Linked DNA regions of Medicago truncatula. Each later gene encodes a partner of the first gene's protein in a complex. Links are inferred from orthologs where the notes say so. Each region holds a gene or a part of one and is shown in the gene's direction. Other genes may lie near its edges.

What was found.
Region 2: WPP domain-interacting tail-anchored protein 2 (region 1) and RAN GTPase-activating protein 1 share a complex: the UniProt entries of both Arabidopsis thaliana proteins name them as parts of the ran complex. The link is inferred for Medicago truncatula from reciprocal best matches to the Arabidopsis thaliana genes WIT2 and RANGAP1.
Region 3: WPP domain-interacting tail-anchored protein 2 (region 1) and RAN GTPase-activating protein 2 share a complex: the UniProt entries of both Arabidopsis thaliana proteins name them as parts of the ran complex. The link is inferred for Medicago truncatula from reciprocal best matches to the Arabidopsis thaliana genes WIT2 and RANGAP2.

Annotation. Positions count from the first base shown.
Region 1 is NC_053047.1:21,516,560-21,524,265, forward strand, and holds the start of WPP domain-interacting tail-anchored protein 2, read left to right. Parts: upstream 1-4,650; 5' UTR 4,651-5,067; intron 5,068-5,105; exon of another isoform or gene 5,106-6,185; intron 6,186-6,488; 5' UTR 6,489-6,529; coding exon 6,530-7,031; intron 7,032-7,125; coding exon 7,126-7,706. UniProt on the Arabidopsis thaliana protein: Together with WIT1, required for the nuclear envelope docking of RANGAP proteins in root tips. Plays a role in nuclear shape determination.
Region 2 is NC_053042.1:35,965,782-35,973,816, forward strand, and holds RAN GTPase-activating protein 1, read left to right. Parts: upstream 1-4,942; 5' UTR 4,943-5,291; intron 5,292-5,882; 5' UTR 5,883-5,893; coding exon 5,894-7,495; 3' UTR 7,496-7,815; downstream 7,816-8,035. UniProt on the Arabidopsis thaliana protein: GTPase activator for the nuclear Ras-related regulatory protein Ran, converting it to the putatively inactive GDP-bound state. Plays a role in spatial signaling during cell division.
Region 3 is NC_053042.1:50,999,711-51,007,347, forward strand, and holds RAN GTPase-activating protein 2, read left to right. Parts: upstream 1-4,999; coding exon 5,000-5,054; intron 5,055-5,171; coding exon 5,172-6,784; 3' UTR 6,785-7,051; downstream 7,052-7,637. Other genes in the region: 2-hydroxyisoflavanone dehydratase, read left to right, coding at 1-279. UniProt on the Arabidopsis thaliana protein: GTPase activator for the nuclear Ras-related regulatory protein Ran, converting it to the putatively inactive GDP-bound state.

The DNA of each region.
Region 1 (7,706 bases):
TAGGTTTGGACTCCAAGACTTTTGCCACCAATTGAGTTAGGGCCTTCTTAGCTTTCTTGGTCCTCGCCCTTGTCGTTGGTCCTCCTAGCCCTTGAATTGAAGCACTTGTGTCATGGACAATCATGCCCTCATCACTTTTTCATTGAAAAACCCAATTTGCCACGTAAGCGTTTCATCACACATCAAGCTTCATATTTCATCTTTCGTACCTACAACATTATATTAATGTAAGGGTCAATTTCCTTATCCAAATCGGTTTATACTCAAAGCACAATAAACAATGCCTTAAAATAGATAGTATAAAAATTTCTCGATCAAAAAGAAATAAAAATACACTCAAGCCATATTTTAAGTAAAGAATTCAAGTGTTTGTGGGAGACTTTTTTACCCCGACGCCATTTATCTTGGTGGCGTGGAATAGCCAGACTTTTTCCCCCCAAAAAAGACCCAAGTGTTTGTGGGAGACTTTGCAGGAGGGTTGAATGTCTTCCTTTAGTTTCTGCCTGTGTTTCGCTTTGAGGCCTTCATCTTATATGGAACACCACTTTTGTTGAAACTGAATTTTGGGCAGTTGTCAACCCATCCTCCTTTGCACTTTGTTTGTGGTTGAAATCCCTCGACGGATTTTGCATCTTCTTTATCGAAAACTGCACTACACCTAGGACAAAGCATGACATTAGTGTTGGAAATCTTGCATCTATTGAGGAAATAAATAAGATCCTCTTCAGCCCTGGGATACGCCACTTTCATCTTTTCAGCAAATTAGTCTTCATTAACCATTGCATTTTCAAATTGGTGGTCCTCACTGACCATCTCAGCATCAGTTTGCAACTTCGCCTCGGGGGCTGGATCTTTAGGAGGAAGTTCAGTACCAAATTCGTCTGAGATGTCCACCATATTTATGGCAACTACTTCAGCGTACATGGAGTTAGCTTTCTTCAAGGGATCTGCATCAACTTGCATAGGTTGTTTAGCTTTGTCTCCAAATTTCTACCTTCCCTCGTCAAGAGCTTTCTGCACGGAGTCCCTAAAACGAGTACAACGAGACAAATTATGGCCTAAAAGGCCATGAAACTTGCAAAATCCTCTCTTTTTTCTTTGTTCAAAAGGAGGTAATTTCATATTTTTTAGCACTAAGATTATGCCATCAGTGACCAAGAGATCGAAAATCTCATCGCATTTAGAAACATCAAAAATATATGTTTTAGGAGGGTATTTGTCGTTTTTAGGTTCTTTAGGGTTCTTTCTGTTCGATGGCCTTAACAATTTACATGCATAAGGCGGCCCATCTTTTAACTTTGCCAAATTAATTTCATTATCTTCAATAGTATCTGATCCCCAATCGAATTCTGGGTCACTGTCTCCTGTGTCTACATAGGCAACTTTCTCCCTTTTAGGGAACCTGTTTGTCCGGGCTTTCTCATGCCTTAAGCCTTTCGACTTTTCGAACTCTATCTGCCAATTGTGCTATATCCCTATGGTCTTGAGTATCCAGTTTCGTTCAAACATAATAATGAAGGCCACCAGCAGCCATTTCGACCAATTCATGTTCTGGCACTGAAGTGAAACATCTAGCCTTAAGAAGACGGAATCTATTTAGATAATCGTCAATCGACTCGTGCGTTTTACGTCGAACGCTGGCTAGTTCCTTCCAACTAATCTTAGATTGACCCATGTAGAATTGCTCATGGAAAGCTTTTTCCAATTGATTCCAACTAAAAATGGAATGAGGAGGCAATGTTGTAAACCAAGTGAAAGCATTTTTTTTCAAAGAACTTGGAAAATATTTCATTTTCAAATTCTCATTATTTGCCATCTCACCTTGGTTATATCACGGTCTCTATAGTACTAGCTTGGATCGATTGTGTACCACCTGGTGGTAATGGTGGGTTTGGGTGATGTCCCTGACGAACTAGCGGCATTCGACGCCGCTACGTTCGATATGATAAGAGGACGCATCATTTCAGGAAGTTTCTTTTTATTTCTCAATCGCATACACAACGCAAACCAACAATATTAATCGTTTAAATTTCAAAATAAAATTTCTAAACAAAAGCAATAAATGTTCCATTGGACGTGCCAATTTGTTTACACTGAAATTTGGTAAACAACCGCTGGTTTAAAAATATTTACTTGCAAGATCAACCAGTAAATCTTAAGGACATATTGTGTTTGTTATTTTCCAGAAATTTATTATTGTTCTTGAAGAACACGATAAAAAGAAGTAAAAAACAATCGAATTCAACCCAGTTGAATCCAATTGGAATTATGTAAAATGAAAGTAAAATGAATTGCTCAAAAGAAACAAGTAAATTGTAAAGACATTTAAGAAAATAAACTTAAATTGCATTCATTGAATGTAAATTGGTACACATGTTCATACATTGCAACTTGTGACTCGTTTCTCTCTTCCATGCGGATAAGAGTGTAAGTTTTGTGTATGATTAGTTTGTGACCCTTTTTCTTTTACGAGAAACTACTATTTATACTAATATAAATAACTACCTATTTTTGAATTTAAAACTACAACTGCTACAAACTAACAATACTTATCCATTCGATTTGAATTTCAAATATTTGTGCCTATGGAAATATCCGTTACTTGACCTAATCCGAAACAAAACTGCCCTTCAATAACTACGTCTGTCGAACGATACATGCGCTTCGATCACTTCTAGCAAAGTCAGCTTCGATAAAAACATTCCTTATTTCTTCGATAATCAAGTCAACTTTGGTTTGACTGCATTTAAGATAGCCTTTAAAAATATAAGCTAACAACTATATATAAAGAAAACTACTTCTTCTAGCTCTGATGGGTTGGATTTTTCTTTCCAAAAATGCCCTGAATACAAATAATTCATGTAACAAATAGATAAGAATACATTTAAATATTGAAAAAAATGTGACAAACACATAAATATATATGTCTGTTTTTTTTCTTTATTATTTAAAAAGTGTAACAAAGTAGATGAGTATATTTACTTTTTCATTATCTCAATTATACCCTTAAACAACTTTTTCTATAATAAAGATTTTTGTCGGTGTCATTAAAAAAAGTTAGATTATATTTTTTTTTGTTATATTGTTGGTGTCATTGAAATAAATAATCATGATTAGTTTGGTTTGTTATAATTTGAAAGCAACAAACATTTATATTTATTTTTTTGAAGAAAAAACATTTATATTTTTAGTTTTAATCCAAATCAAAATTTCATATAAAGAACACTTTTAATAATTTTCAAATGTTAGTGCAATAAAAAGAGCGGAAGAACGGGCACATGCGTTTCCATCTTTTCGCTAGTTAGATAATAACATAACCTTTCACTTTAGCATTGTTTGTTATCTCTTCATAGGCTTAATTGCATGTTTAGTCCCTTATGTTTATTTTAGGTTTCACGTTGGTTCCTTATGTTTTAAAAGATTCAAATTGGTTCAAAACGTTATTCATATTGGAATAATTCATTCCATCACTTGACCGTTTAAAGATTCAGATTGACAATATGGGTGATGAAATTTAACATATTTAGAAAATGTGTTTCAATTTTTTTGTTTTATTAAACTCAATATCATGTCGCAGAAGGGACTAACTTTTTTCAATGTGACTAAGGTTTTTGACCAACTTGAAACATTTAAAATGTAAGGGATCAGCTTACAACTTTTAAAACATAAAGAACCAACTTAAAACCTAAAATAAACATAAGGGATCAAACATACAGTTAAGCCTTCACTTTAACATTGTTTTAACGCTATCTGATGTTGGACATTATCTACCAAGACCTATTTTTACCCACATTCAATTTTATGTTACCGTGTCTTGGATGAAAACTAAACATGGATTGAATATGTTGATAACCGTTGATAGCGGTGAACCAATGACTTCAATTGTTATTATAGTGTATCATAAATTATTTCAGAAAGTATAGGCCCTGTGTAATTTAGTTGTACCTTTCAAGTTTTCTTCTATGGGTACTGAATTGAGTTTTAAAAAAACGTAATTGTTATCTCAAAAGAATTTGTGCAAGAATTAATCCAAAATTTTTATAACTTTCATAGTTTTAGTTTTTGTTCCTATGTCTTGACGACGTTGTATAGTTCGTGTCGATGATAATTTCACCCAACACATATACAACACAATGGTTAAAGATGAATGATATTTGTACAACTAATTTTAGATAACTTTTATGATAATTATTTTTTTCCTTATTTATTGGACAAAAACAATAAAAATAAATAAATAAAAAAGAATAAAAGCACTAAGTAATTATGAAAGAGAGAATTGTCTAAAAAATTATTCAAGAATGATTGTACGTCATCTTAAACAAAAAATTTGTCTTAAATTATATGTCGTTCTACAATATCAATAAAATATTAATATTACTTTTTTTATTATATATTTAACTATTTATTACTCTTTCATCTTTCAATTTATTTATATTTATCATATTATTTATTAAAAAACAATTTTATAAAACAACTCATTATATCTTTTTTCCATATAATATTAATTACACTTTTTAATATGCGATCAAATTGTATTAGAATTTGGGATGAAATGACAATTGAAAGTTTTAATGAGAAAGTTGTTAGAATCCAACAAGAGGGACCCACAACAACCAAGACACTTTGAGCTTTACAGCCACCTAAACCGTACGTTGGAGGGATAGATCTATCTATGTTGTCCTGTCTCTCAATTTTGTTCTTCTTACTCTATTATTATTTTGCGTCGTGCCTTTGCCAGAACTCAAACTTAAACTCAATTATTCAAATAATCTTTATCAAAACAGTTCAAGATCAACGTGCCCCTCACCCCAAGTCTTCATTTTTTCTCTTTGATTTTTTCTGTTCCTACTCTCAGGCTCTAGTTTGACCATTTTGACTTCTTCCTCTTCAAACTTATTTATCCACAATTATTGGAGACAGAGTGTCACCACAAAAAAGAAGATACCCTTTTGTTTATTTATCTTGGAGAATGTGAAAAAGTGATTAATTTGTTTATGAGTGGTAGTTAAAAGACTTGGCTAGAACTATAAGTTCTTCCAGATAGAGTCCAGAAGCATTTATAGAAAGGTAAGGCTTTATTTCTCAGTTTTCAATTGATAATTTGATGTTAACTTTGGAACTTTCTTTATTTGTATGTCCTTCCTATGAGGAAATGAGAAAGTCATAATTGTTGTTTGTTATAGCTGTGGCAGTTTCATGTTTGGTTTGGAGTTTTGTTGTAAGCTGAATCTTCATTAAAATTGTTGTAATATTTTTGGGGAGTTATAATTGATGGTTTTTTGTGGTTATCTTTCATGGATTTCTAAGGATTGGAACATATGCTTATGATTGTTGTGTGCTGGATTTGTTACAAAACTACCATCTCATGTGGTTTCTGTTGTTAAGATTCGAGTAGATACTTCATTTGTCATGAAGCATGGATACTGACACGCCGACACAGTTAATAATTTGAAAAAAATCACATAATTCAGTGTAATTACAAGTATCGGTATCGTGTCGGTGTCGGACACGACACATGTCCGACACCGAGACACGCCTAATCCGAAGAGTGTCCGTGCTTCATAAATTGTCACTATCCAAGATCCATTGGGTCATGAGTGTGTTAAGACTCAAGAGTCACACATTGTTTGTGTTAGAACAATAACTGGTAACAAAAGATTAAAGAAACGCAAATCACAAACAATGGAATGTAATCGCTGTTTACGCAGTTCGGCTAAGTTACAAACCATATATATCGTATTACAATCCAAATTACAACCATACCCCTGAATCGTACCATAGGGGCAATCACCATCCCCCCAAAACAAATAGTTGGGCCTAACGTACAATTGCAAAGCTATAGCTGCATTTCTTCAACTACATACTCATTTTTTCTTTTTTAATGTTAGGGGTTAGTAGTGTTAGGTTTCTGTTAGTGATGGTTAGTAAGAGAGTTAGTTAACACATTAGATTGGTTAGTTTGACTAAGAAAATTAGAAGAAATTAGATGTTTCCTATAAATAAAAAATTGAGCGAAAAATAAGGTCTTAAGGTCGGGACTAGGGACTAGGGAGGTGGGTGTACAGACCCTCAAGGATTTACTACGTGTGCAAGTTATTTTCAATCTTCAGGTAAAGAACCCCATTTCGGTTGGCCTGATGGTATTGACTTGGAATCTAGGAGTGTGTTGCTACTCAAGGTCTCAGGTTTGATTCTTCCTAATACCAATTTGGATAGACTAACTTACCTTCTTAGAAAGAAAAAAAATTACCAACTGCTAATTTATGTTGTTTGTAATAGAATAGTAAAATTGCATTGCAATAGAGTAGTAACAGCCTATAAACGAATTCGATAAGTAACAAATTCTGTTTTTCATTTAAATTTCATCTCCTAGAAGTTAGAATAAAGATAGAGTTAGTATACTTAAGAAACTCTGATACTCTATTTTCTTACTTTAATAATGATGTCCATTGATGCTTGCATCCACTTAATTTCTATCTTATTTTCAGAACTAGCCTCTAATTTCTGAACCAAGAAAGAGATCCAAGAAATGGATGCAGCTTTAGAAAAAATCTACTCACTCAAGGGTTTCTCAACGAAAGAAAACGACATCCAAGATCTTGATATATCCTTGCAAGCCTTAACAGAAATAGATCATCGGCTAGCCTATTCTTCCGAGAAGCTGGTGAACTTACATATTTTGTATATTTATCTATTGGCTCGAGAAAACGATCTTGAAGAAATAGATTCGAAGAATACCTGCGACTTAGAAAACTCATTTGAGAAGGCAATGATGTTTGATCTATTGTCTGGCATTTTAGATTTTGAGGCAACAGAGCTTGACAATTTCATGGACACTCTACATGAAGAAATTGTTGATGCTCGTCATAAAATATTGTCGTGCAGACATTTGACTGAGGTTTTCTTTATAATGGATGAAAAATTGCAAGATTCCGAAGAGTCTGAGAAGCAATTACAACAACAGTTATTGGAATTAAAGATTCAGTCATCGCAGCTTCAGAAAAGTCTTGTGGCTTTCCAACACGAGAATTGTAAGTTGAAATATTACACAGATTTTTCTTTTCGAAAAATTTACATTGAGGTATTTTTCATTTATTTATCGTTTTTAGTCATTCATATACACAGGGGAAATGGGGAAGGCTTTGAATTTATTAGAAAATAGTCATGTGTCAAATGTGAAAGTGAAAACGAAAGATCAGAGAATGGTTGAACAACAGAGATATATTCTTCGAATGCTTGAGAAGTCGCTCGCAAGGGAGCTAGATCTTGAAAAGAAGTTAGCAGAGTCAAGAAATAACGAAGAACTAAAGATGAAACTCCGCTACACTGAACAAGTGGCATTTTATATGGAAGAAACAGCAGAAGTTGTTTGGGGAAGATTTCTTGAAGCAGACAATGCTACCGAGGTGTTAATGGGGATTTCGAAAAGTATAATGGGACGTCTCCAAGTAACTGAGTTCAACCTCAACGGTTATATGCAGCGAGAAAATGAGCTAAAATTGAATATTCAAATTTTAATCGAACAACTTAAGGCTAAAGATGCTGCTTTAGAGAAGAACGGGAGATGTAATGTTAATGTTGACGATATTCAGGAAAATACTGAGGTGTTGGATTTGAGGGAAAAGATGAAAATTCTAGAAGAAGAACAAAAGAATTTTGAGGTTCAGATAAATTCTTTGAGCGAAGAGAATGAAGCCTGTCATGAA
Region 2 (8,035 bases), on another chromosome or scaffold:
GGTTCCTGTAATGCTTATTGCTTGTTTTGCGTTTGTTTTCCAGAAGAAGGTGGGGGTGAATGTTTGTTGTGTGTTTTCCAGAAGAAAGGTGGGGTGAAAGAGTGATTGAGTATTATTTTATATAAAGGGTAAATTTGAAACTTTGTGTTAAATGTTAGGGTCAAGGTATAAATATAGGGTTGCGGGGTATAACTTTCCATGAAAAAATGACAAGGCTTTCCCTCTACACAAAAAAGAAGATTTTTTTTTAAACCCCATTAATATCTTTTTGCTAAAAAATGTCTTTTGTGAGTTTTTTTCTAAGGTGGTAAAAATTATAAATAATGTTCCTCGGAAGTTATCTCCCAAATTTTTTTGGGGATCTTAGAGACAGACAATGCCATAAAAGAAATGCTCAACAAAAAGGCCTTTGCAAAAGTAACTACATAACATACATACAATTAAGAGATTTTTTATTCTTTTACTCGTTTCTTGTGCTCCATCTAAATTTTTCATTTCAGTCCCGTTCATATTGTATAATTCGTAGTGTATTTGTGTTATTTCAAATTATATAATCTGAGACCTATAGAAAAATCAAAAATAAATAACCAAACGTCTATGTTGACCATCCTACAAAAATCCCACAAATGATCGAAGTTTTTGATCAACAGCGACCATGACATCATATTCGTCATGAAAGGAAAAGTAAGAAAGAAAAGAGAAAAAGAAAAGAAGAGGGAAATTGCAATGAAAATAAAGAAGAATGCAAGATTATTTATACCCATAACACCTTTCTATATTGTAACTATAGTCAAACAAAATGTGTAAAATGAACCAAACTTGTCAAAAAAGAAGCACAAATCGCTCAAACTTTGCTTGTAAGATCACAATTCAAAATCTAGAATATTTTGGATTATATAATCTAAAATCATGTCTAGTATTGGTTCAGAATATATAATCTGAAACGTGCATAAATTGTGTTAAAAATTGTGATTTGGGGGTTTGATTTGTTTCAGATTATATAATTCAAACCGTGTTTAGAACATAATAAATAGGTAAATCTGCCATCAAATTCTACAACAACAGCATAAATTAAACATAACAATTTCAACTACATAATTTCAACAAGATAATTCAATAACAAAATACAAAAAAGTAAAACATAATACTTAAATATAAACAACATCATGGAACAACCAACTAAAATATTCATATGGTATATCCATGCATTCCTTGATTTCTCTGTAGGTCATCGATTGAATATCAAGAAAAAGATCTAATAAATGAAACTTGAAACTTGATCAGTCTCTTTGAACCATACTGACCAAACATAAAGAACATGGTACTCACCTCGTCATCGTTCTGAAGATTCATCTAAGTGAAATGAACACACTCATCTGAATCGATTGACAGACGACGATACTCAACACTATCTACCGTTCTTGTATCTTTGTGGTTGAGACTGTTAATTTGGTCTAGCTGACCTTTAAAGTCACACAGTGTGATATCAATGTGGACCATAAGTAGATTCAGTTTCTCCGCTATAGTAAACTCTACAGCTAGTTTAGTGTTCATATTTATTTGATAAGTGTTCATTGTTGTGTCGTGTGGTTTTCAAATGAACCAAACACGCCAATTTATAGAAGTCCATATGTGTCATAGGTCATGAAAACTTTTGGTGCAAAGTGGACCACAAAAAATCATGTATTTGACTAATTTAGATTATACAATTTGAAATGTGTCAAACCATCCAAATCACAAGATTTAACATAATCTGGACAATTTTGGATTATATAATATGAACTAATATTGGACATATATTTGGATCATATAATCTGAAACATTCTAGAATTTGGAAAGTGGTTTCGTCAGTGACATTTGGAAGGTCTGACGGTTTTTGGGTCAATGTGCGGTGTTATACACGTTTTATTGATTGTATTACACGTTTGAATTGACTGTAAAAACAATATTTGTTGAACTTTGCCCTCAAATACCATTCCTTTCTTTTGTACTCTTCATTTTAAAACTCATATTCCTTATTCTTCTCTTTTTTTTCTCTGTTTTCTTTTGGGATGGTTACGAAGTCATAATTTCACAATTGACCTTTTACAAACAAGATCAACAAAGACATTTATGCCTTATTGTAGGGTTAGTATGAATGGTCAAAAGGTGGTTGATCCTCTCCATATTGTATTCCTCATCGATTTGGATATGAGATTGTACATATAAGATTCCACCTTCACTGCCTCGTAATCTTCTGTTCCCAAAATTTTCGGAGGGCATGCGAGAGGGATGACACACCTTTTTCACTCATTCTCCATCTATTTTATTGTATTAGAAATTTAGCTTTAAAGAATGCGTCTTGTATAGGCAGAACACCTCCAAATTACTAACAACCCCAAAAATAAACTAGCCATGCATAAAAAGCAGAAACAGATTGAGCTTAAAGACAATAGAGCCAATCCTCAATCCTAGAGCTGTCAAAATGGGGCGGGCCGTATGGGCCGGCCCGAAATCCCGAATAAAACGCAGGGCCTGGGCCGAAAAATTGGAGCCCGAATTTTTCTAGGGCTTTTTAGCCCGGTCCGTAAAAGCCCGTAACCCGTTCGGGCCTCGGGCAGCCCGCCAAAAATTCAAGTGGGTTACTTTTTATTATTTTTTTGTTGGTCTGTGTATGTTACATGGTGACTGCAAGCATTTTCAATTCGATTGTTTGTAGTCTGTGGAACAAGCATTTTCACAAGACAAAAGGTGATCAAAGCATAATGTAGGAATTTCATTTCAGATATATTGGTAAAAGTAGTTTCTACATTTATTTGTTTTCTGAAATGCATCATGCTGCTCTTATATTAAGGAAATGGTGTATTTTCATGACAAAACGAAAATTACAACATTACTTTTGTTGCTTAGACGGACAAGCACTTTGCTTAGAATGGGTTTTCATTCTAGGCAGTGAACAAAGGTCCATTTTACTTCAAAATGAGAGTCTGATCGCCCTTGCTTTTTAAAAAAAAAAACTAAAAAAATGTTATTATGTTCAGAATGAAATAAAAGAAAGAAAAAAAAAACGGGCTTGGGCTGGCCCGTTAGCCCGTAAAGGGCCGGGCTCGGGTTCTACTTTTCCAGTCCATATTCAAACTGGACTTTTTAGCCCGACCCTTAAAAGCCCTTGACCCGGTCGGGCCGGGCTTAAACGGGCCGGGGCGCCCGTTTTGACAGCTCTACTTAATCCCTTACAAAACAAAAAAAATAGCAGGCCTGATGCAAAACAAACACAAAGCCAGATGTTGTCAGCACCCTATCAGCCCAGAAACACACCACAACAGCAACAAAACAACAACAAAAACCGCTACAAAACAAAACAGTAGCAACCTCCATTACTCCTCCCCTTCCTACCGACGATGGATACAATCTATAGGGTTCCAACACCAAGCGTAAAAATAACCATCAAATCTATCAAAAACACCCTTGTATTTGAAAACCACATCAACAACGAACTCATAGAAGAAAACCCTCAAAAAACATAACCACGACCAACCACCACAAGCATCACCACAAAAACCACCACGAGCACCACGAAAAACCACCACAAGCACCTCCACAAAAGACTCAGTATCATCACCACCGCGGAAACCACCACGAAGCACCATAAACCAACACAGCCAAAAATCCATCTAAACCATAACATATCATATGCCTCACAACTTTTATGACCGACCTATCACCACCTACGTTGCGAGCAAACAGAACCTTCACCCACCGTCAAGAGAGAAAACGGATCTGGTATCAACCACCACATACCAAAAGACAAACTCAAGCAATCAGTGTTGAACGGCCAGAGAAACAGAGCCGTAACACAATTCACAACTCCACCAGAGGTCCACCGTCAAAATTGCAGTTTAGGACCATCGACAGATCTGGAGGTAGGTGGTGCGGAGGGCTCAAGCCGCTCGTCGCACCACCATAAACGGACTCTACATCTCAAGAATATATATTGAATTTTTGGGCGGCGGCAGTAAGTTTTGTGTAGAGAGAGGGCAGAGAAAAAAGAAGCTAGGGTTTTGAAAAAAAGTTTAAAAATATTTTTTAAATCATGTTGTGTATTTTAAAGTATGCCACTGTAAATTATAACATTTTAATAAATTGAGTTGAATATGATAAAAAATGGATAAATACAATTCATATTTTATAATTCAAAAACGTCAAATACCATTCTTTTAGGATATGCAAGGGAAAATGTTTTGAAATTTTAAAGATTTGGTTTGAATATTCAAGCCAAAATTTTTGTTTGAAACCAAAAAGTTTTGAAAACAAATATCCAATTTAAATATTCAAACAAACCTTATAAAAAGCAAAACTTTAGGAAAAATTTAAAAACTTGCTCTTTCTTTTGGGATCTTTGGTCAATTTAGAAGATACGTGTTTTTTGAAAAAAAAAATCTTTATATTTGTTAAACTAAAAGGATATTTTTGGTAAATAATTTGTTTTGAGTGGATTAATGGGGTATGAAGTTAAATTTTCATAATTCAGTTTTTAACATTTCTTTTGAGGCCCATTTATACACATGATAGTTATATACCAGATGTGTTTTATTTTTTTCTTTCTGCCAAACACGCGTATAGGAGATAACTTCCAAAATAAACATACATCTAGTATTTTTTTTTTACAAAAAAAATCCTAGTAGATTACAATCAAATGTGTATTCCTTCATAAAAAAAAAAAACAATCGGATGTATATTTCTTTTAAAAAGAACCGAATGTGTGTATTTAGGGATTCTAAGAGATATAGGGGGAAAGAGAAATGTTTTTCAGCATTTGTCAGCATAATAAGCTAGTCCAGTCAAAGATTTTCCAAAGCCCAAGTATAGGCCCAAATAAAACCACAATTAGGGTTTGTGACGTCATGCATGAAGAAATTCAGATGTATACAGGCTAAAACCATCATTTTGTCGGAATCGGAAAATCTACGCTTTGGGATTTCGATTTCAATTTCAATGGTGGCGTTTAAAAAAAGCTGGATTCGATTGAGATTTTGATTTTGATCCATCCATCACATTTTTTTCATTTTCAATCATTTCCCTCCAGTTTTTCCACGCACGCTTTACCCTATCCAAATATCTTTATCATATTTTTCAATTTTCAAACATTAAAATCATTAAATTTAATTTTTATTTTTATTTTTCCCCGCTCCAGCATAAAAAGGCTCCAACTAATTTTAATCATCATTTCAAAAATCTTCTTTTTCGTTTTCTCTCTGCTGCTACTGCACTTTATCTTTTCTAGGGTTTCTGCGTTCTCATTTCTCACTCAGGTACTAGATCTATTCCCCTCTTTTCTTTCTCTTCTCTGCTTGTTATCGATAAGATTCAGATTCCTTTTTAATATGAGATTCGATTCCTTTTCTCCTGTTCAAATTTCTGAATTTTCAAGTCTGTAACGGAGTCCGTAACGGCGATTTCCTGTGATTTTTGTTCTCGGCGTGAAAAGATCCAAAAACGGTCACGGTGGCTGCTGATACCGTTTTGTAACGGCCGCAATCCCGGCACCGGTCCTTTTTTTGAAACCTTGGTAGTTATTGATTTGTACAAATTAATTTTTTTAGGGTTTATTTAAAAGTTGTAGTCATTTTCATTTTTGAAAACTTCGTATTCGGTCCCAAGGAATGATTAATCCGTGGGGTTACTGAAATATGTAGTCATTATAACTCTAGTGCTGTTAAAATACATCACTATGTATGCATATTGTGGTTCTTTGGTTTTGATTTTATACTGTAGTTATTATTGAAGAAGAAAGCAAATTAATGAATTTTAGATAGTAGTTTTATGTCTTCTGTTGTTTTATAGGCACTAGTGAAGATTATGATTCAGAAAACTTTTAAATTTGTTGCTATACTTGTTTCTAGGTTCTGTTGATATGGATTCTACCGTACCGTCGTACCAACACCGAACACTTTCAATCAAGTTGTGGCCTCCAAGTCAGAGTACTAGGTCGATGTTGGTTGGACGGATGGTCAGGAACTTGACGACTCCGTCCATTTTCTCTAGAAAGTATGGACTTCTTAACAAAGATGAGGCTGAGAAGGATGCAAAGGAAATTGAGGATGCAGCTTTTGTGACTGCGACCCAACACTTTGAAAAGGAGCCCGATGGTGATGGGAGTTCTGCTGTGCAAATTTATGCCAAGGAATCGAGTAAGCTTATGTTGGAGGTTTTGAAAAGAGGACCAAGAGGGAAGGAGGAGAATGGGGAGTTGATATCTGAAAAGGGTGATGCTGCTGTTGAAACTGTTTTTGACATTTCTGGGGGTCGCAGAGCTTTCATTGATGGGGAGGAAGCTTCAGAGCTTCTAAAACCATTGATGGGACCAAACTCTTTTACAAATATATGTTTCAGTAATAGAAGTTTTGGTTTGGATGCTGCTCATGTCGTTGAACCCATGCTAATATCAATTAAAGATCAACTGAAAGAGGTAGATCTGTCAGATTTTATTGCTGGGAGACCAGAAGCAGAAGCTATTGAAGTGATGAATATATTTTCTTCTGCACTAGAAGGAGCTGTGTTGAGACATCTTAACCTGTCAAATAATGCCATGGGCGAAAAGGGGGTTAGAGCATTCCGGGCACTCCTTAAATCACAAAATGACTTGGAGGAGCTTTATTTGATGAATGATGGTATATCAGAGGAAGCTGCAAAAGCAGTTGCTGAATTGATCCCTTCCACTGAGAAGCTTAAGGTTCTTCATTTCCATAATAACATGACTGGAGATGAAGGAGCATTTGCAATAGCTGATGTTATGAAACGTTCCCCAGCTTTGGAAGATTTTCGGTGTTCATCTACCAGAGTAGGCGCTGAAGGTGGTGTTGCTCTTGCTGAAGCGCTTGGGGCTTGCACGCATTTGAAGAAGCTTGATTTGCGTGACAACATGTTTGGTGTGGAAGCTGGAGTTGCTCTAAGTAAAGTTATACCTGTATTTGCTGATCTTACAGAGATATACCTCAGTTATTTGAACTTAGAGGACGATGGTGCAGAAGCCCTTGCTAATGCTTTGAAGGAATCTGCACCGTCACTGGAAATTTTGGATATGGCTGGGAATGACATTACTGCTAAAACTGCTGTTTCTGTAGCTGAATGTATATCATCAAAGCAGTTCCTCACCAAGTTAAATTTATCCGAGAATGAATTGAAAGATGAAGGTGCAGGTTTAATCAGTAAGGCGCTGGAAGGTCTTGGCCAATTAAGTGAAGTTGATCTGAGTACAAATTTGATCACATGGTCAGGAGCCAAACTGTTGGCAGAAGCTGTTGTCCAGAAACCTGGATTTAAGTTGCTGAATGTTAATGCTAACTTCATTTCTGATGAAGGGATTGACGAGTTAAAGGACATATTTAAAAACTCACCTGACATTCTGGGTCCTTTGGATGAGAATGATCCTGAAGGAGAGGACATTGATGAAGAGGCTGAAGAAAATTCCGATAATGATGAATTGGAGTCAAAACTGAAAGGCCTTGAGATTTAAGAAGATTCATAGGACTCTGTCATGCGATTGCTACTTCAGATTAATTTGTAGGCCAATTATGTTTGCAATAGACATACTTTTTTTATACTGAGCAGCTAGCATTTTAATCTTTGTATTTTAGATTTTCGATTCCATAACTTGGCTTATTGAAGTTTACCAGATATATGCTCTTAATATATCTGGCAAGACAAGAAATAGGCAAATGGTATGAATGGTAGAATTTTTTGGGCTTTATTGTGCCTTTTGCTGGCAATTTATTATCTTTGATTGCTGATTCGTGCTTAAATATTTGCAATTGATTCAATAAGCAGGTTATTACACTTGATTGCTGGTCGTGTTTGCAATTGATTCCATATGCAGATTATTACTGAAGGACTGCATCATACTTTTGATGTTGTGCATTGTAGGCTTAGTCTATAAACAACATAAACCAATTGCAAGCAAAGTAAATGTTGCTACAGGGATGAGATTTTATTCAAAATCTACTGTCACGGCCTTGATATATACTTTTTGTCCAAATCTTTGTAGTCTAATTTGTAT
Region 3 (7,637 bases), on another chromosome or scaffold:
GCACCTGGTGGGATTGATAACCCTTTGATCAATCCTTTGGCTATTGATGCTCCAAGTTTGGATATTATTGGTTGTCCTAAGATATTGATTTTTGTTGCTGGGAATGATGATTTAAGAGACAGAGGGATTTGGTACTATGATGCTGTTAAGAAAAGTGGTTGGAAAGGTGATGTGGAACTTGTTCATGTTGAAGGTGAAGAACATTGTTTTCAGATTTATCATCCTGAAACTCAGAGTTCTATTGATATGGTCAAACGTATTGCTTCTTTTCTTGTTTGATTTGAAGAGGGTCATTAGGTAATTTTATTGTTGATTTTTGTAATAAATTGGAGATGGGGTTGCTGAATTCATGATCAATTTTAATTATCCTGTTTTGTTTATATGGGATATTCAATTCAATGAATTTCATATTTGTCTTTTATACTGCAATCACGACAATCATGATATTGGTGTACTTACTATTTTTATTATAGTGTAATAAAAAAAAAGTTAATTTAGTCACAAATTTGTATTCTTCTGTAATTGAGATTAGAATATGTTTTTTTGTGGGCATGTGATTCCACAGCCTTGTGGTTTGGAGTTTGGACTGTACTAGAGTTTGAGAAATTTGGTAAATCATTGAGAATTCTTAAAAGGGATTCCTATAAATAATGTTAGAATTGTGACAAAAATAAAATGAAACGTCCCACCAGACAAGAGGTTGGTCTGCAGTGAAAGCAGCCAACTTTTCATCATTTTTTTATCACATCAATTTTTTCATTCGTCACAGGTTTAGTATCTATTTTCATTTTTTTGGTACAATCCTTTTATTTCATTTTACCTTCTCTTATTTACAATCTCTCATGGGTTATGAGAACTGAAGCATGGCCTCGTGGGGATGAAAGTTGTTTGAATAGTATACGAATAGGAAAGTGAGGTGGGGTTTAGCCTGGAAAAGGGGAGTTGTTTCCCACAATGGGAAAGTTGATTATGTCCATTAGATTAAATGAGAAACAAATCCTTATCCTACTCTCTCAACACTAGATTATTGTTTTACACTATCTTCCACCATCTCTCTTTCATGTCCCACACACTCATACCACAACCACCACTATATCAGATACAGCAACCACCACACACCACCATGTTGCTGCTGGAAAACTCAGATATTATAAGTGCTTAATTAGGCTATTTATCCAAAGACACTCTAGCTCTTTTTAAGCTTTTGTTTAATAAAAATGATGAAATTCATTCTTTTAATCTACCATAATCAGTGGTAACTCCATGCTAAAAGTGTGATGCTTAGATTTTGTCGAGTCAAAGCTTAAAAAAGGCAATCAAACTAAGAAGCAGGTATATATTTAGGATAGGACCAATGGTCTTTCCTCCACCGCCTGAGACAACGCTGTAGTTGCAGTTTTGATTTTTAAAATTAAGTTGCAACTCTTAATTCTTTTGGGCGAGAATTTTAAAGCTTGTGTTAATGAGCTTAGGAGAAGGATTTGAGAAGTTATTTTATGATTCTGAATTCAAAAAACAAGAAAGAGAGATGGTGGAAGATAGTGTAAAACAACGATATAGTGTATGAGAGAGTAGGATAAAGATTTGTTACTCATTTAATCCAATGGACATAATCAACTTTCCTATGGTGGGAAACAACTCCCTTTTCCCATACTAAATGCCACCGGAAAGTGAACCACACCACTTATTTATCTGAAGGAAAATACTTGTTTAGGCACAAGTGTTTGGTCACTAAATTTAGGCACACATACATAATTGAGAAAAGATAGAGAAAGAGAAAATAATTAGATCATATTTATTTTTTAAATAATTAAATAAAATGTATTTTTCTTATCAAAAAAATAAAATAAAATATATTTTTATGTGTGGTGTGTCCAAAAGCTTATGTTCGTGCAAGACTTTCTCTTATCTGAAAGTCTCAATTAAATTAAGAAGGGTGGCAATGATGTAAGCGCTAAGAAGTATGGCAATGCTTGGATGATAGCCTAAAATTTGGCCTTTGTCACGGTGATATACGGATAACACTTGTGTATCACTGGGATATCAATGTTATATAACATTGGCCAATGAGGGTGTGCCACGTAGCACTTCACATGTATATCTTTTCTCTTTCCTCTTTAGTCATTTCTTACATCGGTTATGTGGCATGCCATCATTGGCCAATGTTATATAACATTGGTATTTCAATAGCACACAAGTTCTATCCGATGATTAGACATGACAATGGGGCGGATCGGGGGCTGGTTTACGCATCCTCGTCCCTGTCCCCACTTCCATGCACCCGCCCCCATCCCCAAACCATAACGGGTAAAAATTGAACACCCAACCCCGCCCCCAATGGAGACAGGTCTCTCTGCCCCGCTCCACCCGCAAAAACTCTATTTTTTATAAAATATTTAAAAAAATGCATATTTTTTCATAACAACAAAAAATAATAACTATATTAATAATTAAATATTTAATAAAAAAAATTTAAAAGAGCAAAATAATTATAGTAAATATGTTTCTAAAGAGTAATGATATATTAAAATTGGTTGGTGCTTATGGAAATAAGATTATAAAACTTAATAAAGTAAATTTTAAAAAACGGGTGTGGGGCGGGTGTAAGCATCCCCCGCCCCCGGCGCCGCCTACGTACTGAAAACTAAATTTCTCTCACACCCGCATCTAGTTAAATCGGTTTTCCCCGTTAAATTTGGGACGGGGACGATCGGGTTTGGCGGGGGCGAGTTTTGTTGTCATGTCTACCGATGATATACAATGTAAGTATGGAGTTGTGAAAGACATAAATTCAGAAAAAGGCTAATGTTGTTTCTCCCAAGAAAATGTTTCGTGAATGCATCACGACCATTTAATTTGTAAATTTTTTAACATGACAATTTATTCGGGACACCTTCGTGGTCATTTTTTTCTGTATTTAGCAGTGCTCTTAGTAAAATTATCAACAACAGAAAAGAAAATGAGATAATATAAGCATTTGATACTCATGTGCTAAATGCCTTCTTATAGTTTTTTTAAAAATGCAGTGTCAAATCCATTTTTGTGGCCAATCACTTTAGCATTCTGATTAGAACTCCCTCCTTGTGCACTCTTTCTCCAGAATGGTGAAAGTTTAAAGTATGTTTAAATTATCGTTTCAATCAGCCATTCTACTTTCTGGTGCAATTTTAAGCCTATGTTTGTATTGAGGATGGATTTGTTGTAAAAGTGCGTTTCGAGAGATCATACAATTTGTAGCTTCTCTATTATCAATTTCCAAGGCTCTCAAACACACGGTAGCAGTGGTGAAATGTCAAACAAGCACATACTTAAATGATTCCATTGTGACCACACAATCGCATTACGATTTCTAGAAATTCAAAATACATGATTTATAGACGATCAATTCAGTAAATTTATCAACAACATAAAAGAAAAGAAAATGAATTAAGTAAAGACATAAATATTAGAGACACTCCAACCTATTTTGACAATAAATCAACTCTTTTTTTAAAATGAATTAATATAAACAAAAATGATGGTTGAAAAATTAATGTGTGTGGCAAAATTTTAATCCACATATATCAATTTTCTAACTACCTTTTGTTTTTGTTTATATTTATTCTGGAGGGAGTATGTTAATCATAATATTAAATTTCTCATGTGATTAATGTTTTTTTTTTTTTTTGTGATGGTCAGAGTTTAAACTACGAATATAGTAATCCAACTAACAATAGAATTCCTCCGCTAAACTTACCACATTGTTAAAAATACGGTTATTCCTAGCCCTCCAAATAACCCACAAGGTGGTATGCCAAACAAGACGCCTACCCATTTGAAACAATTTACTAGTCGTCCTCCCCGCATTCCAACAAAGCCAATGAACGAACAAATTGGGCGGTGTAATGAATTCAATCTCAAACCACCTTTTGACTTTCTCCCAAACCGAGCTAACTACATTGCAATGCAAGAACAAATGGTTGGTGGATTCCTCCTCCAAATCACACAAAACACAATGCAAACTTAAATTTGGAGGTAGAGCATGATGATAAAGAAGATTCAAACGGGTCGGTATACGATTAAGCAAAGATCTCCAAGAGAGCGCCACCACCTTAGAAGGAGCCGGGCTCTTCCAAACTTGGCTAAAGACATGTTTCTCCTCTAACCCCCACTCATTCTCAATACCCGCCACCACCTCTAGCTTCTTATACAAAGAACTCACGGAAAACCTACCATCCTCTTCAAGCTTCCACCACCACTCATCCGTCCCATTTGAAGTCACAAAACCTTGAAGATCGAGTAATAAATTTGCAAGAAGGTCTTCCTCCCAAACAAACAACCTTCGCCTCCAAGTGAAAAGCCAATCTAATCCCGTGCCGGACAACACTCCTATCTCCCCTACCTTAGCATCTTTAAGGTTTGAAATAGCAAAGAGCCTTGGATATTTGTTACAAAAAGCCACCTCACCCCTCCACTTAGTCTTCCAAAAATAAGTATCTAAACCATTATGAACTTTCCTAGCCAATTCCGTATTAAACCAATTCATCCCATCACCATCATCAATGGTCATAATATCTTTCCACCATCTTGAAGTGTGACTATGCCAATTTCCACCATCATATTTTATTTGTTGTTTTGCTTAGTTTCATTTAGCTATGATTATCACATGAACAACAACGGATTATGATTGAGAAATAAAAACAGGCCCTACTTTATTATTGCAATCAATTCAGCCTATACAGTATGATATCTGTTAATTATTATTTCAATTACTTATTTGATGGGTTTTTATAGTCGTTGCTCCTATTTCTTGAGCTACTTTTCAGAGCAGTTTTTTATATCCAATTCGTAAATTAATTTTTGTTATCTGTGTATTATGTCCTTAACACTAACCTCCCATAGCTGCATTTTACATATGTGACTTATAATCATGATGACTTAACAAGTGACGAAAATGTGTCTTGTTTTTTTAGATACATTTTCAGTGTGACTTATTCTTGGTGTGTTACTTATAGTCATGATGACTGATAACCTTTCAGAATTTAGATACATTTTCAGTTTGATATCTAAAGTGGGCAAGGGCTTCGAAAATGTGTCGTATTTTTTCAGATACTTTTTCAGCGTGTGACTTATTTTTAGTGTGTGACTTATAATCATGATGACTTATAACTTTACATGAATCGTTTTTGCAGGTTTGATTGATATGGAGCTGAATTCGCAGAACAGGCCGTTCTCAATCAAATTATGGCCTCCTAGTCAGAACACTAGACAGACGCTTGTGGAGAAGATGACCAACAATCTTACTACGAAATCCATTTTCACTCAAAAGTATGAAACCTTGCACCCGAAACAGGCTGAAGAAAATGCTAAAAGAATTGAGGACAAGGCTTTTGCCACGGCAAACCTACATTACGAGAAAGAGCCAGATGGTGATGGAGGTTCTGCAGTCCAGCTTTATGCCAAAGAATGCAGTAAGCTCCTCCTAGAACTTCTTAAAATGGGTCCTAGTAAGAACAGTGTCAAAGAAGCGGTGATTTCTGATGCTGCTGCTGTCCCTCGTGAATCTGTTTTTGATATATCTAAAGGCCAAAGGGCTTTCATTGAAGCAGAGGAGGCTCAAGAACTTTTGAGTCCACTGAAGGAGCCGGGTAATTCTTTCACTAAAATATGCTTCAGCAACAGAAGTTTTGGATTAGGAGCAGCAGAAGTCGCTAAGCCGATTTTCATATCCCTCAAGGACCAGTTGAAAGAAGTAGACCTGTCAGATTTTATTGCTGGAAGACCAGAAGCAGAAGCACTTGATGTCATGAGGATATTCTCGGCTACTCTAGAAGGCAGTGTCTTGAAGTATTTAAACCTTTCTGACAATGCTTTAGGTGAGAAAGGTGTTAGAGCATTTGGAACTCTCTTGAAATCACAAAGCTGTTTGGAGGAGCTTTATCTTATGAATGATGGAATTTCAGAAGAAGCTGCTCAAGCAGTTTCTGAGTTGATTCCTTCCACAGAGAAGCTCAAAGTTCTCCATTTTCATAATAATATGACTGGAGATGAAGGAGCACGTGCTATAGCTGAGGTTGTGAAGCGTTCTTCTTGCTTGGAGGATTTTCGTTGTTCCTCCACAAGGATAGGCGATGAAGGTGGAGTTGCCTTATCTGATGCTTTGGGGGATTGCACCCATTTGAGGAAGCTTGATTTGCGAGACAACATGTTAGGTGTAGAGGGTGGGGTTTCCCTGAGTAAAGCTCTTGCCAAGAATGCAGAGTTAAGAGAGATATACCTGAGCTTCCTGAACTTGGAAGACGAAGGAGCAATTGCTATAGCTAATGCTCTTAAGGCATCAGCTCCTCGCCTTGAAGTTCTCGAGATGAGTGGAAACAATATTACAGTTGATGCTGCTCCTGCTATAGCAAACTGCCTTGCAGCCAAGCAGTTTCTTGCCAAGTTGAACCTCTCTGAGAATGAACTCAAAGATGAAGGTGCCATCCAGATAAGTAAGGCTTTAGAAGGCCTTTCACAATTAAAGGAAATCGATCTAAGTTGCAACAGAATAACCAGAGACGGGGCTCAACAATTGGCTCTCACTGTGTTGCAGAAGGTTGATTTTGAACGTCTGGACATTGACGGAAACTTCATTTCTGATGAAGGTATTAAAGAGTTAATGGTTATATTTGAAAAATCTCCGGACAAGCTTGGTCCATTAGATGAAAATGACCCTGATGGAAAAGACGGTGATGAAGAATCTGACGAAGAGGGTGGTGTGGAGGATGCACTGGAATCCAAAATGAAGAACCTTGTAGTTGATTGAATTGTAACTGTTAGTAGCTTACTGGTTCTACTGCAGAAGTAACTCTTATGACATTAGTATCAGTTTATTCATTCACAGAATCATATGTAACCGTCAAGATGCATCATTTCACCAAAATATTGAATCATTATGCGTATCTTGGTGATACTTTAATTTTGGTGGTCTAACCATTGTGGGTATCTCTGGACTAGATATCGTAATCTTGTCGTCATTAGTGTATTAACACCTGGTTATCATCAGATTCAGTGTTATGTTGGTCAATTTACATGATCGCTGTGACGAGTATTGGAGCTATTCTAATAGATACTCCAAAACTGATTAGAATATGTTTAATTTTATTCTATTATTTTCAATAAAGTCATAACATTATGGCATAATTTAATTTATGTAGCCGACCTTACACAGGGGAATAAGACTTAGTTCTTATTGTTGTATTTACAATAAAAATAAAAATGTATTGAAAAATACAGACAATAAAAATGAATTGATTTTTTTTTTGTTGGTATTTTTGAGTTTTGTTGGGTACCAATACCCTCCAAGCAAAACTATCTGACATTGTAGTGTTCACCGCATTGTGTTGTCGATTTACTTTTAATATATAAAGCAAATACAAAGGTCGTGTTTTACTAACATCTTTTTGAGAGGATGTTTTAACATTGTTCAAAATTTAAATAAGAAAATATTCCAGTGTTAGAAACGGTAATTAAACAATCATCCTTGTGAGCTTAGCTCAGTTGGTTGGGACAATGCATAAAATATGAAAGATTCGGGATTCAAACCCCGGCCATGACCAAAAAACAATGGTTTTGGCACATTTTTCTTTTCAAAAACGGTAAGCCAATGACAATTAACA